Linked DNA regions of Arabidopsis thaliana. The protein of the gene in region 2 purifies or fractionates together with the protein of the main gene of each other region. This does not show direct contact. Each region holds a gene or a part of one and is shown on either strand. Other genes may lie near its edges. The genes, in order: RH8, RS40, STRS1 and AT4G31360.

What was found.
Region 1: the proteins of RS40 (region 2) and RH8 fractionate together in Arabidopsis thaliana (co-fractionation; one large-scale study listed by BioGRID). This does not show direct contact.
Region 3: the proteins of RS40 (region 2) and STRS1 fractionate together in Arabidopsis thaliana (co-fractionation; one large-scale study listed by BioGRID). This does not show direct contact.
Region 4: the proteins of RS40 (region 2) and AT4G31360 fractionate together in Arabidopsis thaliana (co-fractionation; one large-scale study listed by BioGRID). This does not show direct contact.

Annotation. Positions count from the first base shown.
Region 1 is NC_003075.7:272,284-279,275, forward strand, and holds RH8 (RNAhelicase-like 8), read left to right. Parts: upstream 1-1,968; 5' UTR 1,969-2,354; coding exon 2,355-2,662; intron 2,663-2,825; coding exon 2,826-2,886; intron 2,887-3,122; coding exon 3,123-3,357; intron 3,358-3,672; coding exon 3,673-3,911; intron 3,912-4,046; coding exon 4,047-4,298; intron 4,299-4,371; coding exon 4,372-4,552; intron 4,553-4,749; coding exon 4,750-4,838; intron 4,839-4,925; coding exon 4,926-4,999; intron 5,000-5,076; coding exon 5,077-5,155; 3' UTR 5,156-5,161; exon of another isoform or gene 5,162-5,396; intron 5,397-5,555; 3' UTR 5,556-6,150; coding exon of another isoform or gene 6,151-6,348; 3' UTR 6,349-6,454; downstream 6,455-6,992. Other genes in the region: AT4G00670 (Remorin family protein), read right to left, coding at 6,151-6,348, 6,563-6,644, 6,712-6,775, 6,860-6,887. UniProt on the Arabidopsis thaliana protein: ATP-dependent RNA helicase involved in mRNA turnover, and more specifically in mRNA decapping.
Region 2 is NC_003075.7:13,022,972-13,027,974, reverse strand, and holds RS40 (arginine/serine-rich splicing factor 35), read right to left. Parts: upstream 3,478-5,003; 5' UTR 3,298-3,477; intron 3,211-3,297; exon of another isoform or gene 3,144-3,210; intron 3,021-3,143; exon of another isoform or gene 2,813-3,020; 5' UTR 2,808-2,812; coding exon 2,702-2,807; exon of another isoform or gene 2,126-2,701; coding exon of another isoform or gene 2,119-2,125; exon of another isoform or gene 1,963-2,118; coding exon of another isoform or gene 1,920-1,962; coding exon 1,807-1,919; intron 1,719-1,806; coding exon 1,477-1,718; intron 1,404-1,476; coding exon 846-1,403; intron 766-845; coding exon 732-765; 3' UTR 535-731; downstream 1-534. Other genes in the region: AT4G25510 (uncharacterized protein), read left to right, coding at 1-327, 472-532. UniProt on the Arabidopsis thaliana protein: Required for constitutive and alternative pre-mRNA splicing. Involved in primary miRNA processing and pri-miRNA biogenesis. Binds both intronless and intron-containing pri-miRNAs.
Region 3 is NC_003070.9:11,478,223-11,483,423, reverse strand, and holds STRS1 (DEA(D/H)-box RNA helicase family protein), read right to left. Parts: upstream 3,662-5,201; 5' UTR 3,504-3,661; coding exon 3,017-3,503; intron 2,936-3,016; coding exon 2,805-2,935; intron 2,707-2,804; coding exon 2,599-2,706; intron 2,510-2,598; coding exon 2,429-2,509; intron 2,275-2,428; coding exon 2,196-2,274; intron 2,092-2,195; coding exon 2,006-2,091; intron 1,927-2,005; coding exon 1,870-1,926; intron 1,788-1,869; coding exon 1,720-1,787; intron 1,637-1,719; coding exon 1,568-1,636; intron 1,475-1,567; coding exon 1,381-1,474; intron 1,286-1,380; coding exon 1,121-1,285; intron 1,017-1,120; coding exon 924-1,016; intron 813-923; coding exon 717-812; 3' UTR 534-716; downstream 1-533. Other genes in the region: AT1G31960 (uncharacterized protein), read left to right, coding at 3,770-4,291. UniProt on the Arabidopsis thaliana protein: ATP-dependent RNA helicase required for 60S ribosomal subunit synthesis. Involved in efficient pre-rRNA processing, predominantly at site A3, which is necessary for the normal formation of 25S and 5.8S rRNAs.
Region 4 is NC_003075.7:15,220,134-15,224,160, reverse strand, and holds AT4G31360 (selenium binding protein), read right to left. Parts: upstream 2,319-4,027; 5' UTR 2,217-2,318; coding exon 1,894-2,216; intron 1,485-1,893; coding exon 1,388-1,484; intron 1,251-1,387; coding exon 1,191-1,250; intron 932-1,190; coding exon 851-931; 3' UTR 534-850; downstream 1-533. Other genes in the region: FLA5 (FASCICLIN-like arabinogalactan protein 5 precursor), read left to right, coding at 1-323.

The DNA.
Region 1 (6,992 bases), about 13 Mb from region 2:
GGAAAGATTTGAAACGACATCGTTATTAAGCCCTAATTCTACTATAACGATGTCGTTTACGAGAAACATACATATACATACTTGAGAATAAAGCCCATTACCAAGAGACCAATTTTGGTCTTTTTCGTATAGTATTAACTCTACGGCGATTGATCTAAGCCCAATAATTGTGGAACTTGCTCGACTTAGGTCTCAATCTCTATTTTCTACCAATGCCAAAAAACAATTTCCTTACAAATTTTTTATTTTTCCCATCAAAACAATTCCCACCAATTTACATTTAAAAATCATTGTAATCTATCACATTTCCTTACTTTTAAAACCATTTACAAATCTATTTATCGCCAAAACAAAAACGGGAAAAATGTTTTTGGAAAAAAAAAATTGACAGAAAAATTATTTTCGGAATATTTTTGGCGAAAAAAATCGATATTCTATTTTGTTAACCTAAAATATTTTCAAAATATGAGTAAAATAGTCATTAAAAATTAAATTAACGTATAAATGAAAATGACTAACAGGAAAGGTTATAATTAAAAAATGATAATTTTGGAAGAACATTTTTTACAATTTCTCTTTAATCATTAACCCTCGTTGTATGGAACTCCGGTGGCGTTGAGCCACGAATCTCTATTTATGAACTCTCTAACCGTAAACATGACTGCTTCCATCGGGTCTGTGATGATCTTGTTCCCATTCGGATGGACTCTCTGGCTTGCGTTTGCTCTGGGGCCTTTGTTTTGATATTCGCGGTAGAACAATGTGGACAAATCCCCACTAGTGCTGCTATTTCATGGAGTCCATCCCACTGGATCTATCAAAACATCCATTTAAGATTCCATAATCACCACCGTTGATAAATCACCCCACGGTCTTACTAGAAACATCTTCACCATTCTGTGAATGTCGACGTGTCGGTCGAGAGACTGTAAAAAGCCTACGTATTCATAGAATTTTTATTTTTATTTGTGATGTTTATGATAGTTTTTTGTTCACTTTATTTTTTTTGTTCAATCTATTTTAATTTTCTTAACACTGATATAAAAAATTTCATAGTTTATGTTGTGTATTTATTTTTTAATTTTTTATAATATTTAATTTAATTTTGTCAATTATTGTTTTATTTAATGTGTGAATTAATTTTAGCTGTAATGTTTTGATTTCAATAAATAAAATTTAGGCAGGCCACAATATGATGACTTGGATGTTGATGTAGACATCGTAGATCGAAAGTGAACTTTTCTATTATATAGACGTATTTTACTTATTTTTTGCTTAATTTATGCTTACTTTTGGTCAAATTATTTTCTCTTTATTATTCAAATTATTTCAATAATCATAACATATTGGTAGATATGTAGTCGCTATAAAAAATTTGGATGTAAATGTTAACTGATGAAATAAACTAGGCCTAATTTGTGTGAAAGTAGAAACCTATTAATTGTGAAAGTTTGAAATTCCATAATCTCGGTCGCATATTGAATACTCAACATATAATTTTGGTAGTGTTTGAAGAATCATATTTGAGACATAATCAGGTATAATGAATAAAAGCAGATGACACAGCAAACGAGGAAGATGTCATCACTTGTCACAAATCCAGTGCATAGATGGATCAAGTGCAATTCTGATGAAGTATAAAAACATTAGAGAAATACTCTGAAATTGGATGGATACTCTATGACGACCAGGTGGTGTTTGTAACATCTTGCATAGCGTTAATCTTGAGCTAAAAACAGCTTTAGAAGCTGAAAGATAGATTTTTGGGGTCAGACTGAAAACTTTAATTAAGTTAGGGTAAATATGTAAGGAAAAGGAAGTAATGTGTAATTTTATAAATTTCAGAAAGAAAGAAATGAAAACTTAAAACTCCGTTTTAATTACCACAAGGCTCAAGCCCAAGCCCAATACCGCTAACGAAATCCGACGAAATCACAAACATTATAATATTACATAGAGATAATCATCTTTCTGTCTCTCTGTCTCTCTGTCTCACGCGAGAACTCTGGCTTCGTCTCTATATTATTGACCCTTTTGATCTCTCTCTGTCTCGCTTTCTTCCTCGCGTGGACCTTTTTCGAAAAATATCAATCCCAGAATTTCGCTTCATTTTGGATTATAAACTCCCAGATCTGCTACTCTCTATCTCCGATTTTGTGATTTTTCAAACCCTAGATTTCTCCGGAAGAGTTTATTTTTTTCTCTGTAACTAAACCGAGATTTTTTTTTCAAAATTCCGACATTACCCTAGGTTGTGTATTACCGTAGAAAACCCTAGTTCCTTTTTGGTATTCTTGGTGTACAGATCCCTTCCTTAGTCAGAGTTTTTGGTTATTAGTGTTTAGAGGTTTGTGATGAACAATCGAGGAAGGTACCCTCCTGGAATTGGCGCTGGCCGTGGAGCCTTTAACCCTAACCCTAATTACCAATCACGGTCGGGTTATCAACAACATCCGCCGCCCCAATACGTTCAACGCGGTAATTACGCTCAGAATCACCAACAACAGTTTCAACAAGCGCCGTCTCAGCCGCATCAATACCAACAGCAACAGCAGCAACAACAACAATGGCTTCGAAGAGGTCAGATCCCCGGCGGTAACAGTAACGGTGACGCTGTTGTAGAAGTTGAGAAAACTGTTCAATCCGAAGTTATCGACCCAAAGTGAGTGCTGTTCAAGCTTGGACTACTTAGTTAAATCTGGGATGTGATTATTTTCATTTGAAGTGATAATTCCTTGTTTCTTACGTTACCATGGTATTGAACTGCTTAGTGTTGGTTTCACTTTTGTGCGTTTGATAACCTTTACAATCTAATTTCTCTTCAGCTCGGAAGATTGGAAAGCAAGGCTAAAACTACCTGCACCTGATACTCGATACAGAACAGAGGTAATGTTCCATATTTTGACGAAATAGAGTAAATTAGGATGCATTCACTCTTTATTTTTGCTGTTTCGTGTGCTATATTGGTGTGACTTAAAGGTGTTCTTAAGCGTAATACCTAAATACTTGTTAAATTTGTTTCTCAATACTTAAACTGCGTGAGAATCTATTTGTGAAACTGAATTGATTCTTGGTTGCATGGGATGAGATGTTCACAATTCGTTACTTGTTATCATATTTAGGATGTGACAGCCACCAAAGGGAACGAGTTTGAAGATTACTTTTTGAAACGGGAGCTTCTCATGGGAATATATGAGAAGGGTTTTGAAAGACCTTCTCCTATTCAGGAAGAGAGTATTCCAATTGCCTTAACTGGTAGAGATATCCTTGCCAGAGCAAAGAACGGGACTGGAAAGACCGCCGCCTTTTGTATTCCTGTCTTGGAAAAAATTGACCAAGATAACAACGTTATTCAAGGTAACTGTGTACTGGACCATGTTGTTAGTTGATTCTTTCACGTGGTGCAATGCTATTAAAGAATCTGAAGTTTTGACATCGTCTAGCTAGTGATTTTTCATAGCTAATAAGAACAGAATACCAAAGCTGGCGTCGTAAATAGATTATTGATCCACAATAAACACTAGTTACTGTATAAAACTTAGTGAATGTAAATCGTAATGAATCCTTTGAGCCTCTAAACCCATTGCTTCTATCAGTAGCCTAATATGTTTCTTAAAGGTTTACTGCTTCCTTTCTAACTTAGTTTACCGTCAATACCTTTCTTGTACGCAGCTGTTATAATTGTTCCGACTCGAGAGTTAGCCCTTCAGACATCACAGGTCTGTAAAGAGCTGGGTAAGCATTTGAAGATTCAAGTCATGGTGACCACTGGTGGCACCAGTCTGAAAGACGATATCATGCGTTTGTATCAGCCTGTTCATTTACTGGTAGGAACTCCTGGGAGAATTCTGGATCTTACCAAGAAAGGTGTTTGTGTTTTAAAAGATTGTTCGGTGCTTGTTATGGATGAGGTAAATGTTGGATGCTTACTTTGTATTTTTTTTTCTTTGAAATTTCTTTCTATCTATCTTTTTTCACTATTTGCAACCTGTAGCAAAATTGTTCATGTTACTCCCAATTTAATTTAATTATGGATCATTCATCAGGCTGACAAGCTTTTGTCTCAAGAGTTCCAACCTTCAGTGGAACATTTGATTAGCTTTCTTCCAGAAAGTCGTCAGATTTTGATGTTCTCAGCCACCTTCCCTGTCACTGTCAAGGATTTTAAGGATAGGTTTCTGACGAATCCTTACGTCATCAATCTCATGGATGAACTTACGCTCAAGGGTATTACCCAATTCTATGCTTTCGTTGAAGAAAGACAGAAAATTCATTGCTTGAATACACTATTCTCCAAGGTTAGATCTGAACTACATTGATTGTTTTTGTTTCTTTCCTTAGCTGGCATTTTACTCTCTTCTTCTCCTGCAGCTGCAAATTAACCAATCAATCATATTCTGCAATTCTGTAAATCGTGTGGAGCTCTTAGCCAAGAAAATCACAGAACTTGGGTATTCATGCTTTTACATCCATGCAAAGATGCTTCAAGACCACCGAAACAGAGTGTTCCATGACTTCCGGAATGGTGCATGCCGTAATCTCGTGTGTACTGGTATGCCTTAGTGTTATCATGCTGCTATTGCAGGAGCACAATGAATCAAATACTAAATTATCTACCTCTTAGACCCCAATAGTGGCTTTAGTTGAGGCTTTAGAGGGACAACTTATACTGGTTTTAATATTTTGACTTTGCGAAATCAGCTATGTCCTCTACCTGAATAGTTTATGATTTAATGATGGTTGCTGCAGACTTGTTCACACGTGGTATTGACATTCAAGCCGTCAATGTGGTGATAAACTTTGATTTCCCAAAGAATGCTGAAACTTATCTCCATAGGGTAAGCTAAAAACCAAATGTCCACATGATACTAGATTCCTACATGTTGATTGATGGTAATTGATTTTAATATCTGGTCTCTGTTCAGGTTGGACGATCAGGAAGGTTTGGCCATCTTGGTCTAGCTGTGAATCTTATCACCTATGAAGATCGATTTAACCTGTATGTATTTTTCTCTTGACTGGTTTGTACTATTGTTTTCTACAGCATAGAATAACCTTTGTGTTACATTTTTGTAGTTACCGGATTGAGCAAGAGCTTGGAACGGAGATCAAGCAAATTCCTCCACATATCGATCAGGCAATTTATTGCCAATAACCAAGGGTAAACCACCTTGGTCTGCTGTTAGGTGAATCAGTAATAAGTGGTACGTAGTATCTACTTATGGACAGGCTTGAATTGTTCCTACTTTCGGAGTCACTTACTTCATGTAACCTCAAGATTCTCTAGGATAATTTGTTTTAATGTATACACAATACAGAGTCTTGTTGGAAAGATCAAAGATGGAATTTCAACTATCGTAATCATAACACCACATTACATAATTCAAGGCATACATTAAGTTACATATTTCGAGGACATAAGTTCATATGGTTGATGCATATAGGCCTATTCATTGTTCTTTTGCCACTTACGCTAGAAAAATTCTTTTGATTTGGGTTTGCTTCCTCATTTAAGAGGCCCCTAATATATTATTTGGATTTGTGCAATGTTTCAGGTTGGTTGAAGCCATGGTTAGACAGTTGTCTTATCTAGCCATGCAGGACAAGGACAACCCAAAAAGGCTTCACATTCTGCCTCTTACCTCCATAATGTTTTTTTCTGCGTCTTTGGGATTCCTTTATTTTTAAAGATTAACTATAGTCAAGGCTAAAAGGTTTGAAATACCGGGTAGTATTACAAAAGTGAAGTCTTTTATTTAGTTTTAACAAGTCGTTTGAGCTATTGTTTCTTTCTATGCCGTAGACTGATCAGTGGTTACAGTGTTGTGATGCGTCTTCAAGGAGCTGTGGTTTCATGACTCTTTCATGATCCTTTTCCAGCTTTCCAACTTCAATAATAAGTCTTTGAGACCTTAAGATGAGATTTTCCTTTTTTTCCATTTACACAGGTTGCTGATTTTATTTTAGCATGTTTTGTGTTGTCAATAGGTAGATTAGTTCAGGATTTGGTCTGTGGACAATGGACAATGAATTTTGCACTCTCTTGTTTTATGAGCAACACAAGCAAAACACACAACATACAAAAGATACAAGTATGAACATAGGATACCGGAGATAGGTGATAATCTGTATCACAGGTTAGTGCTGATCTCAGAAGCAGCTCAAAGATGACTTCTTGGGTATCTTTCCTGCGGCTTGAAACCTAGCAGCAGCTTCTTCCGCATCAAGGATCTCTTGAGCCCGTCTGGTTTGAACATCTGCCTTCTTCTTTTGTGCCTTTGCATGAACTGCCGCTTTTTCGTTCCTTAGTTTCTCAGATTTCTCCATCTTCTTACTGTCCATCTTCCGCTGTAGAAAACAACAATTTTTTCGTCTGTATGTTAGTTCTTTGACGACATGAAATGTCATGTTTCATAGTCTTGTACCATTTGGTTAACTTGCTGTTTAGATAGATTCATGTTTTTGATCATACACTACAGGCTACAGCAGTAGAACAGTCTTAAGCATACATGAGTACATAGATCATATATTAGGAATTGGTAGATGTCTTTTGTGGAATCACCTGAATTCTAGCGAGTTCAGATTCGATCTTTGTAGTTTTCTTTTTCTCCCATCCTGAAATATCTAGTAGCTTCTTCTGAGTCCTGCAATCAGAGAATCTGTCACAGTGGTACTGAAACGACGCTGAAAAGTGTTTGTGTTGTGACTTACTTGTTATTGACCTTTGTTATCTTTAGTTCCTTCCATGCCTTAATAACTTTTGACTGCTCATCTCCTATGTGGTATGTAGTAGGTATAAACTAAAAATTAAGATACAACATGAAACTAAACAATACTAAAACTCTGTGATATGAGTTACCTCTTTGGATCGGAATATTTGGCTCCATTTGATTGAGAATGAGTTTCAGGCTTTAAGTTCTAGTTGCTAGTTAAATGCACATTTAGGTCTATTTATAGTGATGTAACACACATGTTCGATTACAAAAGGTGAA
Region 2 (5,003 bases):
CAGAAGACGAAAAGGCGAATTTTTCATAACACTCGAAAGCCCTATACTATCAGACGAGCATATCTCAAAGGGTAAAACTTACCAACAAAAGACTAAAACTTCAAATCCAATGGGCAACTCAAATCAAAACCCAGAAAGTTTCAACCAAGTAGACTCTCTCGACTTGCACGAATCCCAACGATCAGAAAATTGGAGAAACCCAGTAGACAAAGAGATCATTAAACTCTACAGCAGCATTTTACTTGGTAACAAATATACTAAAGCAGACGACCAATGTAGGCAGAACTATAAGTCTATTTGTAGCCAATATTTATATTTGAGTCAAAGGTTAGGGACTAGTTCGAACGTTGACAAGAGGCGTTTAGAGTAGTTTTTAGACCCAATTAAGTCAATAGAACCGTTCTTGCCTTCCATAATTTCGGCGTACCATTTAAGTTACTTAACGATGCGTTCGATTTTGTCACTCTCAAGGTGTTTCGATGCAAGATGTTTTGAGGTTCGCATCTTATTGTCACGGGAAAGCATTACATGATTGGGGTTCAAACTGAGAGGTGATAAAAAAAAACGGAAATGTAGTAACTTGACATAAGTTTTTCAATCCGACAATAAAAGTGATCCGAGTTCGAATCTATCAAAAACCAAACGACAAAAACTAATCACGACGACATAGCGTTGTTGACTACAAACAGTTACAACATCCTACTTTGATAGAGATTGTGGATCCACTCTTATCACTCGTCAGCTGGTGGCGAACGAGGAGACCGGCTGCAACAACAAGAGAAATGGTTTACGATTCATGTCATCAATAATATATAAACAAGTATCGACCTATTTCAGAATCTAACCTCTTCTGCATTGGGCTCTCTGCACCATCATACCCACCATCACTGTCTCTTCTTCCTATTGACCCAGGGCTTTCAACTTGGCCATTCTCGGGGCTAGACCTCGATCTCTCTCTCCTTTCAATGGGACTTTCAACTTCACCAACCCCATTTCTCGGACTCTCCTTCTTGAACGGGCTGTGATTAGGGCTCATCCTCTCTCTCTTGTTGTTGGGACTGCGGCTGTACTTAGTAGGGCTTGCGACTCTCTCCCTCCTGCGAGGGCTATCATTGCCTCTGCGGTCACGACCATACTCGGGACTGCCACGTCTTGATTTCTTGTAAGGACTTGGGCTACGTCTTCGACCATAGTCAGGACTGGTCCTTTCCTTTCTGTAGGCAGCAACAGGACTAGCTCCTCGGCCATAATCAGGGCTTCCTCTTTCTCTTTTGTAAGGACTAGGTGATCGCCTTCTCCTTTCAGGTGACCTATCACGGCGTCTTTCAGGACTGTGTCCATTTCCTCTAGCATCATCATCCTTCACAGCATACTCCACCGAGATCACCTTATCCATCAGCTTACTGAATGAAAACACAGATGAAACGTGAGTCTAAGAAAGGAAAGTGATTAGATACTAAAATGGACAGAACAAACCTGTTATTTGAAGCATCCAATGCTCTGGTGGCATCCTCTTGTGCCTCGTACTGGATAAATGCAAAATTCCTCCTGATCCTAACGTTTACGATCTTTCCATACGGCTCAAAGTGTTTCTCTAGATCCCGGGTCCTAGTATTATCCGCATCAAAGTTAATCACAAAGAGAGTCTTGGAAGGTCTCATGCTGGATGAGGATCTCCTTGAACCACCACCAGATCTTTTATCACCTCCACGTTCACTCTATATACACAGAACCATTTATGTTATCAGTATTTCAAACCTCATAACTAAGTCTGGAAAGAAATAAATCCTGGGGTAAGTATCCTACCTTTGTCCATTCAACACGAAGTCTGCGTCCCTTACGCCCAAATTCAAAGCGGTCAAGTGCTCGGATGGCATCTTCCGCATCCCTTTCATCTTCCATGTATACAAAAGCAAACCCTGGAGAAAAAAGAAAAAGCCAAAAGCAAAGATCTGAGTACATTAACAGTGAGGAAGTGGACCAGATTAAGAACCTTCAACATACACGAACACTGTCCTCCCTCCTTCAACGCCTAACTTAACTCCTAGAACATATTAAATTTTGAACATTCCTAGAACCTTAAAAAAACTCCAAATGACCAGTGAAGCAGTTACAGACCTTGCATTATGGAATTAATATGTCAAGGAACAACTGAAAATGTGGAAGTCAGACGGGGATATGAATGAAAATAGAGAGCCTTCTCCATTGCAGAGGCATGTCCAAGTGTGCAAAGTGATGAGGAATGAAATGCAATTAAGATGGCAGTGCTAATGCGGATGGAAAGTGACTGATTTTGAGGGATAAGAGATGGATTTCCCTATGGTCCATTCATGGCCAGGTGTGAGTATAGGCGTCCCAAGATTATCAAACACATCCTGCGTCAAAGAAAATGCGGTTTTACACTAATTTTTTTTCTAAAAATCTTATTCCTCTGAAGTACTTTCCAAAGTTCAAGCAGGCTGCATCAGGTGGCCAGGTGAATGTGGTCAATGTTTAGTACTCCTTCCAAAGGGAGATAGTCCACCAGAGCCTTCTCGTGGATGGAATGAAGACGAGAGTGGATTTCATGAAATGCATTTGAATTTCGCTTTTTCATTGTACTTAGTGGATAACAATACTGCTTATTATAATTCATTCAGGTTAACCACAAAGACAGAGTAGTAAGAGGCAGAAGAAAGAAAGAAAGAAAAAAAAGGCTCACCAGCTTTCATATCAACCCTCTCAACCTTGCCGTATTTCCTGAATAGTCGTTCCAGGTCACCTTCGCGCGCATCATACTCAAAGTTCCCACAGAAGACTGGCTTCATGCTTCCTGTATAGACAACCACAATAGTAAAAAAGATTCATGAGACTTCCTTAAATGATAATTTAAACACGAATATCACAACTAATTTGTCACCAAGATGAAAACTTTTAACACTAAAAACTAGAGCCCTCACACTAAATCGAATTGTTTTGCAGTAAATTAGGACTTGAAACTCATCTATTCGAGCTCCAAATCAGTTAAATCTAGGAACTGAACTAGACAGTATTAGAATCAAAAGTACAATGCAACAGATCTAATCTAACTACAGTTAGATCTGAATATCATTCACAAGATAGAGAAAACGAGAACAATCCACGAAAGCATGAATCTTTCATACCAGAAAAACAAAGAAGGCTCTGATGAGATTCAACTTATAAAAAACGAGATGGACCAATTCTCTTGTTCTACTTTTCACCAACCAAAAAAAAAAGAAGGAAGAAGGAGATGAGAACCACGACGATATAGAGAGTGAATAAACTGCATCAATTTACCTGTAGAATGATTTTGGCAGGCGTAGTCGCGTGGAAGCCCTAGAAGAAGAAGAAGCTCGCGTCGAGAGATAGGTGAAACTGAAAACAGAGTTAGGTACGATTTAGATAAAGAAGGCAAGAGAGATCATTTGGATTTTTATTTTATTTTCTTTTCTTTTTAGTTTCAAAGATATTTTTTTCAGAACACATTTTGACTTTCTTATTTTGTCTGAAGGACGAGAAGTCGAGAACGTCTACTTTTTAGGAGTATTGGGCCTATATGTTAAACAAATTATAAGAAGCCCAACAAGTAAACAAAATTGAAGCTGCTTTCTAAAAAAACAAAACAATAACAGATTATGAAGACAAACAAATATTAGATTTTTTAATTTTGATTAGAATATACTGATTAATAGAACTAGAACATGTATCACATAACATCTACACAATGAATAATGCATACAAGTTTTTAAAAAGTCTTGCAACTTAACACTCTCAAGATCCCACATGTCAAGTTTTGGATTCGATGAAACATATGAGTTTGTTAGTAAGTTTAATAATTGTTGTTATAAAGAAATGTGTATATTTATATATTACAATTAATTAAATAAATTGTTTTCCTCTTCATTGGATTGCTTCACTTATGTTAAGAGTTTAGTAGTTGCTTTCAAGGCCGAATGATATGTGGCCACGAACATATCATCACACGTGGAATGAGAACGAGTTTCGACTTTTCAAATATGCCATAAAGCCTCAATTATCTTCTTATCTCGCTTGAATATGCAACAAAAAGCTATTAAGATATTCATAAAATAGAGGCGTCTCAAATCTACCAACAAAAAGCTACAAAAGATCCAGTCCAATCCACTGAAGAATCCCAAAACAGAGTAGAAACCCAAACAACCCGATTCAGCAAATAATTCAAAAACGAACGTCCGTACGATTTTCCAAAAACAGAAAGATGGGTTCCACAAGATAATGCGTGGGGACGTCAAAATCCTCTAAACCCGTGGTTCGGCCGCGGAAACACTGTCCCTACCTTCCCCACCAGCCTTCACTGGCCCCATACGTCACTCTCAAGCTTTACTTTCTATTTTCCACTAAAGCCAATTTTGTTGTTTTCTTCACCTTACCACTCTTTTTTTCCCTCTTTGTTGTGTCTTCTTTTCTCCTAAATGTCAATAACGTGAGAGCGAGAGGTAACGAGAGAGATATTTTTGTCAGCGAATATATTTCATGCATATCTTATTGTGAAGATTTTTTATACCTTTTTTTTGTCAATACAATATAGCTATTATTGAGATTGAGATATTTTGTGGGAATTATTGGGATTCAAGATAACTTGCTATTTTGTATTGGTCTAATCCTTCGCTTAGTCCTGTCCTGGTCCATTTACATGTTTTTGGTTATAGTTTGTTTAAACTGAATAATTTTGTTCATCATATGCATTTATGACTCATTTTTAACCGTCCATCGAAATTGATAATTATCCATTACCAAATCTGATTAATTTTTTTAAAAAATCAAGCTTTTCTATATTGTAGTATTATTTTTGGTTAAATATTAGGACATCTACTTCCAATACAAATACTACATGAGTATTTAAAATATCATTTCACAGAGATATTTATGTCTATTATGTTATAGACGGGTGACAATTAATGACAATTTGTTTATTCATAGGAATTTAAAAACGATTGTAACAACAGCAGCCAGCCAACCACACA
Region 3 (5,201 bases), on a different chromosome or scaffold from region 2:
AACCAGAGAATAAGAAGAACAGTAGCAAACGTTGTCCAAATCACAACGATGGGCAGGAGAGCGGCTAGACTGCCAAACAAGATAGCTTGTGTGTCCAACAAGACTCGGGACTAATCCGGGATGTCCACGACTTTACGATGCAAAGAACATAGCTTAGAACAAACACTCATAAATACAAACTGTCAACCACATTCGCAACCCTATAACACTTTAGAGCCATGATCTAAGAACATTTAGCTATGAGAAAAATTAATAATTGCAACAATAAAATATATGTATTTTTATATAAGTCGACCCAAATAGATCGTATAACATCAACTAAGAAAAAATCATGTAAAATGTAAAATGTAAAATATCCATCTAAGGAGGAGCCATACCACTCACGTTGGCTTTATGCAGCCAAGAAGCATCAAAATAGCAAAAATACTTCCTCAATTAGTGTCATTAATATATTGAAGTGTCTGATCAATTAATGTTTCAAGAAAAAAGATAAAACCTTTTTTTCATCAAAGGAAAATAATATAACCTTTTTTGTGGACAAATAAAAGTTTAATAACTAGTAACACAAAATTGCATACAAATATAATGAAAATTCTGAAATATATTTGTTTTTGTTATTCGGGCCAAGCCCCAGACCACAAACGAAAATCAAATGCAGGTTTCATTGTCCAAGTAAATATAATAAAATAATGATACCATTAAAATAATAAACTAAGCTAGTCTTCGTCATCAGAATTATCGAATGTGATCTTCGTAGCTTTAGGAGCATCAGCAGCTATTTCTTTGAAATGAGCTCCATACAATTTTGATTCCTGCAATTTTTAATCAAACAAAACACTCATCAATCACTCCAGAATCCAGATGATGAAGAAGAAGAAGCAATTTGTGTGGAGAATCAAAAATGTGAGGGAAGAAAATCAAACCTTTTTCTTTACATGAGTGCCAAACTTCAAAAGATCAGCTGGCACTACTTGTCCTGCTTCCCTAAGAACATTCACAAGTTCTCCTGCAAGACCCTGTAAGGAAGATACGATCAAATTTGAATCATTTCCATTCTCAACAACTCTGTGGAAAGGATGTAGCTCAAAGAAATTTTTAAAAAGAGTGTTTTCAGTATTACCTTGTTCAGTGGCGTGAAGAAGGTGTGTGCAACGCCCTTTTTACCCGCTCTTCCTGTCCTCCCGATTCTGTGTACATAATCCTCTGTTGTTAAAGGGAAAGTGTAGTTTATCACAACTTCCACGTCCGGGATATCAAGCCCTCTTGCTGCAACATCAGTAGCCACCTGTAATTTATAAAACAGTGTCAATGCTCTGTTTCAGAACCAGTCAATGTATTTTTATTAGCCATGGAATTGCGGAATGATAAGAGTACGCATACCAGTAACGGGCAGGATCCTTCTTTGAACAATGATAAAGACCTGGTACGTTCGCTCTGTGCTTTGTTTCCGTGTATAGATACAGCTTTCCAACCTCTAAAATAGTTGAGTAAATATCGAATTTCATGAGCAATAATATCAAAGATCTTTTTCTCTTTAGTTGATGTGATTTGGGCTAAAAGATCAAACCTTTGCTGAAGAAAACGCTCGAGACGTTCAGCTTCCACCTTGTATAAAGCAAATACCAAAACCCTGTTCCTGAAAATACCAAAACGCTTGGTATTAGTATGTTGAAAAAGGAAAGATCTGGTAAGAGTTCAATGATTAAGTAGCAAATTTACTTTTGAGATTTATGGTATTTTTCTAGTAATGCAATGAGACGCTGATCACGCGCACGTTCATCCAAGACCTGCATTTGTAACCAAACCTTGTTAAGAGTATCATATAAAGGACAACACTACTTGCTATGAGGATGATCCGATAGAACATACCTCAATGATTTGCATAACGTCGTGGTTGGCAGCTAAGTCTACAGAACCTATGATCACCTGAAAGAAATTTGAATGATCATCGGAAATTTTAAGCAACTTGCAGGTGAGGAAAGACAAACTGAGGAGGAAAACAGACCTTGATTGGATTTGGATCCATGAATTCCTGGGCCAATTTGTGAACATCCAAAGGCCAAGTTGCACTGAACATAACCATTTGACGAACTATAAGACAGATAAGAAAGAAGAAGAGTTTTCATTACAATTTAGCACATATATCAAATTTGGCTTCTCACAAGAATGCTAAGTGAAATGTAAAAACCACCTGCCTTTATTTGTGTTACTCAATATAAACCGGACAGGTTCCTCGAAACCCATATCAAGCATTCGATCTGCTTCATCCAATACCTGACATGTAGGAACTTCTGTTACCATCTAATAACTCGAAAATATGATTCCCGTTGTTTCATTATAGGAGCAAGAAACGATGCAACGACTATGATGATGATCCTACGAGGCTAAGTCATCAAATAACATAATCAAAAGATGTTCTGCTGCTTACGACAAAGGAAACATCCGAGAGACGAAGCACATTAGACTCAATCAAGTCTCTCAAACGACCAGGCGTACCAATGACAATATCCTAACAAATAAATCAAGAAAAAACATTACTCAACTGATCCAGAAACATAAGAGAATGTCCTAATCAAAGAACATAATAAGAAATCTTACAACTCCAGATCGAATTGCACTTATTTGAGGCCCTTTAGAGCTTCCACCATACACACAAATCGATTTCAAACCACACGGTTCTCCAGCTTCACGCAAAACATCAGAAATCTACCAAACCACCAAAAACAAACACAACACTAAGAAACTTGACCATACGTTTTCATTTTCACATTGTAATCATAATGAACAAGAAACAATATATATACCTGAACAGCCAATTCTCGTGTAGGAGAAAGAACTAAACAAGTAGGATTAACCTTCTTTGATCCTCCACCAATCTTCTTATTTTTCTTCAACACATGCATAATCGCAGGAATCCCAAAAGCCAATGTCTTACCTAAATACACACAAAACACAAAAAGTTTCAATCTTTTCAACCAAAGTTCAAAACTTTCACACTTCCATAAACATTACTAACCTGACCCAGTTTTCGCAATCCCGATAAGATCACGCCCATCTAACAAAAACGGCCACGTATGTGACTGAATCGGAGACGGCTTCTCGAAAGTCTTACAACAATCTAAAACATTCTCCGGCAAATTCGATTCAGCAAAAGTCTTCAAAGCTGCGTACTTTGCTTCTTCCACACCTTTCCCAGTCACAACAACCTTCTGTTGTTCACTCTCTCCTTCTCCTAAATCCTCAGCTTCAAGCTTCTTCTCCGGGACATCCTTCTTCTTATTCTTCTCAGACTCTTTCTCCTCTCTCTTACGTTTCTTCTTCTTCTCTTTATTACTCAACTCTTCCTCTACACCATTAGTGACCTCTTGAGGCACTTCTTCGACTTCATGATTTTCCTCTGTATGTTTGTTCTTCTTGCTTTTCTTCTTCTTCTTGTTGGTCATCGGACTCTCGACGGCTAAAGGTTCGCCGGAGACGGGAAGCTCTTGCTTTTGTCCAGCCATTTCTTTGTTTCGTTTACAGGAGAGAGTTGTTGATGAAACGGCCGAACGAGAGTCCGTTGTTCAATTTAGGTTTTTAGGGTTTTAAAGCATTGCAAAAATATTTTCTACAATTGCAATTTTGCCTACATAGTTTTGGTTATTACATAGAGAGTCTAGACATCTCTTTTGTTAAAGTAAAACCCAAATTTAATTTGATTTGTAGATCGATAACAAGTCTTTAAAGCCTCCCGAACGTTGCATACCAACCGTCGGATAGGGGATGACCCATGGACGCGAAAGAGGACGTGAGACCCACTGGTAGGGGCGGTCGGGGCGTTACAGCAAAATCGCATGTGATTGTTACCAGCAATATGAGTGTAAGGCAATTTTTGGATGTGAAGTATACAACGATGAATCTGAATTTATTTCTGTCCCTTGACCCCATTGTTGATGACAACCAGAACACACTGATTAAAAAGGACTGCTCCGGTCGGGTGGATAAAGACAAAGGGATAGTAGGCGATGCACAAGTCTTTTATACTAATGGCTTCAAAATGTCTGCTATGGTAACAAAACACACCAACCGGAGTTACCTCAACAATCCGACAAGTATAAGGAGAAAATTGTTTGACGACGCTGGTGTTAAGGGTTCTAATGGTGTTGTGCGATTTCACTCTGTAGAAACATCCAACGTTGTGACCATTTCTGTTGTGAATGATTTCTACAACAACGAGATGGGTGACGATGGTGTTACCAATGTTACTGGCATTATAAGACTTGCAAGGAGCACAAACGGAGATTCAAATTGATGATTAAAATCATTCGACGGTTAAAAGTCAAATTGAGGTTAGTTTTGATGATCAGTTCTCATGTTTGGTTCTTCACAAATAACATAATAGAGCTTTAATTGCGAAATTGATGAATTTTCATATGGAATTTTGAGTTGTTTATGTGTCATCAAACATGGAGGTAAATGTAGTTGTGCTTATGTGTATTTTGATTTTGTCGCTGATACATAAAAACCTTAATATTTTTCATCAAATATAGAAAATAGAAGGGTGCAAATTGTAATAAACAAAAGATTGATCTAAAACCCAATGGGCTTATTAGCCTTACATCCATATCCAAACAGACCCATTTTTCTCACTTATCTCACCGATGTGCCTCGCCGGAGACGCCGTCGTTAGGACATGATAAGATTCTGAAATGATCGTTTCCATCTGGTCGGATTGCTCCTGCTTTTTTTCTCCTTTGCCGTAGACTACGGAGGGAAACCAATATAATGGTAAAGTTTCGAGCTTTGTGTTTTGTTTCCGCCGGAGAATTATACAATTTACTGCTGAGAAAAGAGAACATTTTAATCATATTCTCTTTTTAATTCGTGATGAGAAGGAGTTAATTTGTTAGCCTATTGAGTGCTTATAATGCTACTATAAAAAGAGCTATTGATGTTCTGAAACTTAACAATGCAGAGTAATCTGAGATCATGGTCATGGACAAGCACTTTGGAGGCTCCATGAAATTACAGATAGAAAACTCAAGGTACCATCTCTTTTTACTTCTCGATGTTTAGTTAAATTAGTTTGGTTGTGTTCAAAGTTCTTAAGAGTTTAGACAGATACCAGAGTGACAGTAGTCATGCCTTAGAGTAACAGTGAACAAACAGAGAACAAAGGACTACTTTTGTTTTGTTTTTTAATTTCAAAGCATCCCCGAATA
Region 4 (4,027 bases), 2.2 Mb from region 2:
CTGGACTCAGCCTTGCAATTTTCCCACCTCCACCACCATACGTTCATGTAGCTCCATATCCAACTCCCATGGATGCTTCAGTGGTTCCAGCTCCAGGACCAGCTGCTGATGACAATTCCCCAGATTCTGCTGTCCCAAAAACTCCACCTGCACCTGCAACAGACACACCAGAGGCTGATTCTCCAGCTCCTGCTCCAAGCGCCGATAATGAGAAGATTGAAGCTGCTGATAAGGCTAAACCATCTTCTTCTGCTTCTAAGGCTGGTTGGAGCTTTGATGTTATTCTCTTGTTAGCATTTTTGGCTAGCTTTGCTGGGTTCTAAGATTCGGGTGATGTGGGTTAAAGACAATAATGGTAGGTGAGATTCAAAACAATTTTTCTGTAGCTTTTAGCCAAGAAGAGAGACACGGCCATTGGAAGTGAAAGAAACCTAAATGTAATGAGCTTTCTACTCATCATGCATTGTATTTATCAGCCATTTTGAATGCAAATGTGATGTTTGTCCTATTGATTTTGTAACACAGTTCTAATTGTGTTAGAACATGCTTTAACCAGTGCATAGATTGTTAGAACCATGCATGGTCCCAACAACAAAAAACACTTATGCATCGGTTTGCTTCAAGCAACGAGATGAATAATAAACTAGCCTTACAAATACGAGTTAACCCCAAAAACTACAGAGATCCTTCTCTATCAACTAATCATGCATTGCCAAACGACGAGACTGCACTTACAGTGCTCATACCGAAACAATAAAAGTGAACCTAACAAATCTGACATTACTCTAGAAAGTCTTCTGCAGAAACCTAATTGATTAAACTGAGACCGAGGCAGAAACAAAGAACAGATTCATTTGACTTTCTTTATGATGTCCTCGATGACTTCTTCCATATCAAGTGCCTTCATTGGTGCAAATGGACGTTTCATCTCCTACAAAATGAGATAAACATAATCTACATCTTTAGGTCTATGTTAAGATTGAAAGGCAAAAACATATTCATGATTTCTACTCACAATAACACATTTCTCGTAATGAATAAGGATCAAGTTGATTTTCATTCTCATATGCATATAGAGCAAGTGGTGTTATGAGAATTAGTAATAACAATAAACCTTACTCAAACTGAACAAATCATATGCAGAAGCGAGACAAATTGAGATTTGTTTTTATTAGAATGAAAGTTTTTACCAAAAGACTGATGAATGTTTGGCCACCTTCCTCCCGGATCTCAAAGCAACCCCGCCTTGGCTGTTCAAGCACATCAAAAGAAAGAATTAGTAATTTAGAAGAAAATCTTATCAAGTATAATGTGAAAAGTATGCTCTAACGCATTAGTCAAAACGGAGCATTCATGACGATATATTCATCTGCAGTAAAAGCATTACCTTTTCAGGATTAAGAGACACCGTGACGCCAGGAACAGCTCCCTCCAAAGCTTCCTTCACCTGAATAGCTCTTGTCTTGAAAGCATTGCATTGTTTACTTCAATAACATCACAAAACAAAACAAAAAAGAACTCTTGTGAGACATAAGTATAGAAGCAAATTCCATTTATAGAATGAACACGTCCATTACGCATTGCAATTCAGCTAAAGCAAGACAAGAACACAAACAGAAAGCAGATAGTCAAGTCCTCTTCACAAATGCGAGCAAAACATAAACCACTAATCACTCAAACCAAAAACTTATGCAGAATCAAGATGAAAACCTAACACATTGTTCCACCCTAGCAAATAAACCTTAGCTGCTACACACGGACACACAAGTCTCAACACATACCCCAAAGTTGTAGGCTTTTAGATTCAATTTCAAAGAAAAAAACCTAAATTTTTGCTCTTATGATTCCAAACATTATCTCTAAAGAAATCGAAAACATTTACGCAAAAATTACCAGTGTTCTATAACAATCTTGGTTCTCGTAGGGTCCTCAACCTCTGGCTCTTCCTTCTCAACCTCCTCCTCAACGGCTTCCTCTGGCTCTTCAACTTCCTCTTCCTTCTTTCCCTTCTTGGCTCTCCCAGTCTCAATCGCTGAATTCTTCCTCTTAGCCTTCTTCGTCGCCGGCTTAGTGGCGGATCCAGCCGCTTTAGCACCGTTTTGTTGAGTCTGACTTCGAGTTCGACTGTCCATGCTCCGAGTCACTCTAGACGACGCCAACGTCGTTAAAGGTTTCGCCTTTTCTTCTCCATCTGCCTTACTCTTCTTCGGCGGCATTGTACGGACAGCAACAGGGTTTCGTCTTAACAATCTTCTTCTCCTTCTTCTCCGTCTCTGTCTTACCGCTCTTTCTTACTTTTTTGTTGTTTGATATTCCCTTTTGTGTTTGCTTTTTTCTTACCTTGGAAAAGTAATTCGAATAAACGGTAGAGATTTAACCTACAAGGGTTATTAAAAGGTTGACCGTTAGATTGCAGGGGTTATGATTATGTATTCTCAATGCCCAATAGTGCGCTACTGCTGTATCACACGACACATCCACGTGCTTCGAAACGCTGTGGTGTTTTGCCTCTAAAACGCACAACTACTTACCGTTTTGATTGGATAGAATGATTTTATTTTAATTCCACTTCTCTTTTTTACCTACATTATTTTGATTCCAATTCATTTGGCTTTTTCTAAACTCAAAATAAACTGAAACACTTTATCATATTTATTAAGAAATATTGATTTTCTGATACATAAAGTAAGATAAAAGTCTGTATATCCTTCTAGCTTTTTAGCATTTTGGTCACTGCGGACAATTTTAAGAGATTTTACTAAAAGTATCGTCCAATCCTTTTGTAGGTTTTTATGACTCAAGCCATCAATCCAAATTTCCAATATATGATGATAGTTGAAGTATTTGGATGTAGTAATGCTAAAATGTAATATGTTAATAAGTCGCATACTCATGGTGAACAAACATTCATCCATTATGGTGACATTTTTGTTTGTTTGTTTGTATAATAAAATGCAGGGGGAAGCTTTTGCAACAATGTGTGCATGTTGGAGAAATCTCAGTTAGCACTTTCACAACCAAGCTCCATGGGAAGATCTTTTGGACCTAAATATTTTAGAACTTGTTCATCACATCACAACCATCATCTTCAGTCTTCACTGTTACTCTATTTGTCTGTCTTTCACATATTAGCAAGTTGGTGAAATCTTGATTGGTTGATCCTGATCCCATAACAAATTACACTAATCTCACACAACGACGAACCCTCTTACAAGGTTGGTAGCATGCTAAACGTATGGAAAAATTTGGGAATCTTTTCTAAAAAAATAAGAAACTTGTATATATTTTTTTTCAACACAAACTTGTATTCTAAATCTACATAACGATGTAAAAACAAGTTGAATTTGTGGAATCGCTAACTATCAATGACGGGATCCAAAACCGGTTATTCAACATCGTCTTGTAAATTTATTATCCAAATTTCCATTGTTTAAAATCTGGTCTTGTAAATTTATTATCCAAACATAACCCAACATCGTCCATTATTATCCAACTCTGTCTAAACACTGAAACAAGAAACCGAACATGATCCATATGTCTAGAGATTTTTGAACTGTGGGTACCAAAGAAGGATCAATGTTCTAATCTCAAGTCTCAATCTAAAGTTTGAAGTCGTGGGTACCATTTTTCATCAACCAAAACATAAGCCAATCCAATCCAATCTTTTGTCTAAAGGATTGGTTACTTCGAACCTCAAGTCTCTGACTATTTTAAGCCGTGGGTAACTTGATCTTTGTCTAAAGACTGACACAAGAGACCGAACATGATCCATATGTCTAAAGATATTCAAGCCGTGGGTACCAAAAGAATCAATGTTGGAATCTCAAGTTTCAGTTCACTCGAAAGACTAAAGTTTAAAGCCGTGGGTACCATTTTCCTTGCACCAAACATAACCAAATCCAATCTTTTTGACAAAAGATTGGTTACTTTCGAACCTCGAGTCTCTGTCTAAAGACATAATGTTTTAAGCCGTGGGTATTCTTTTGTCTAAAGATTGAAACAAGACACCGAACATGATCCATATGTG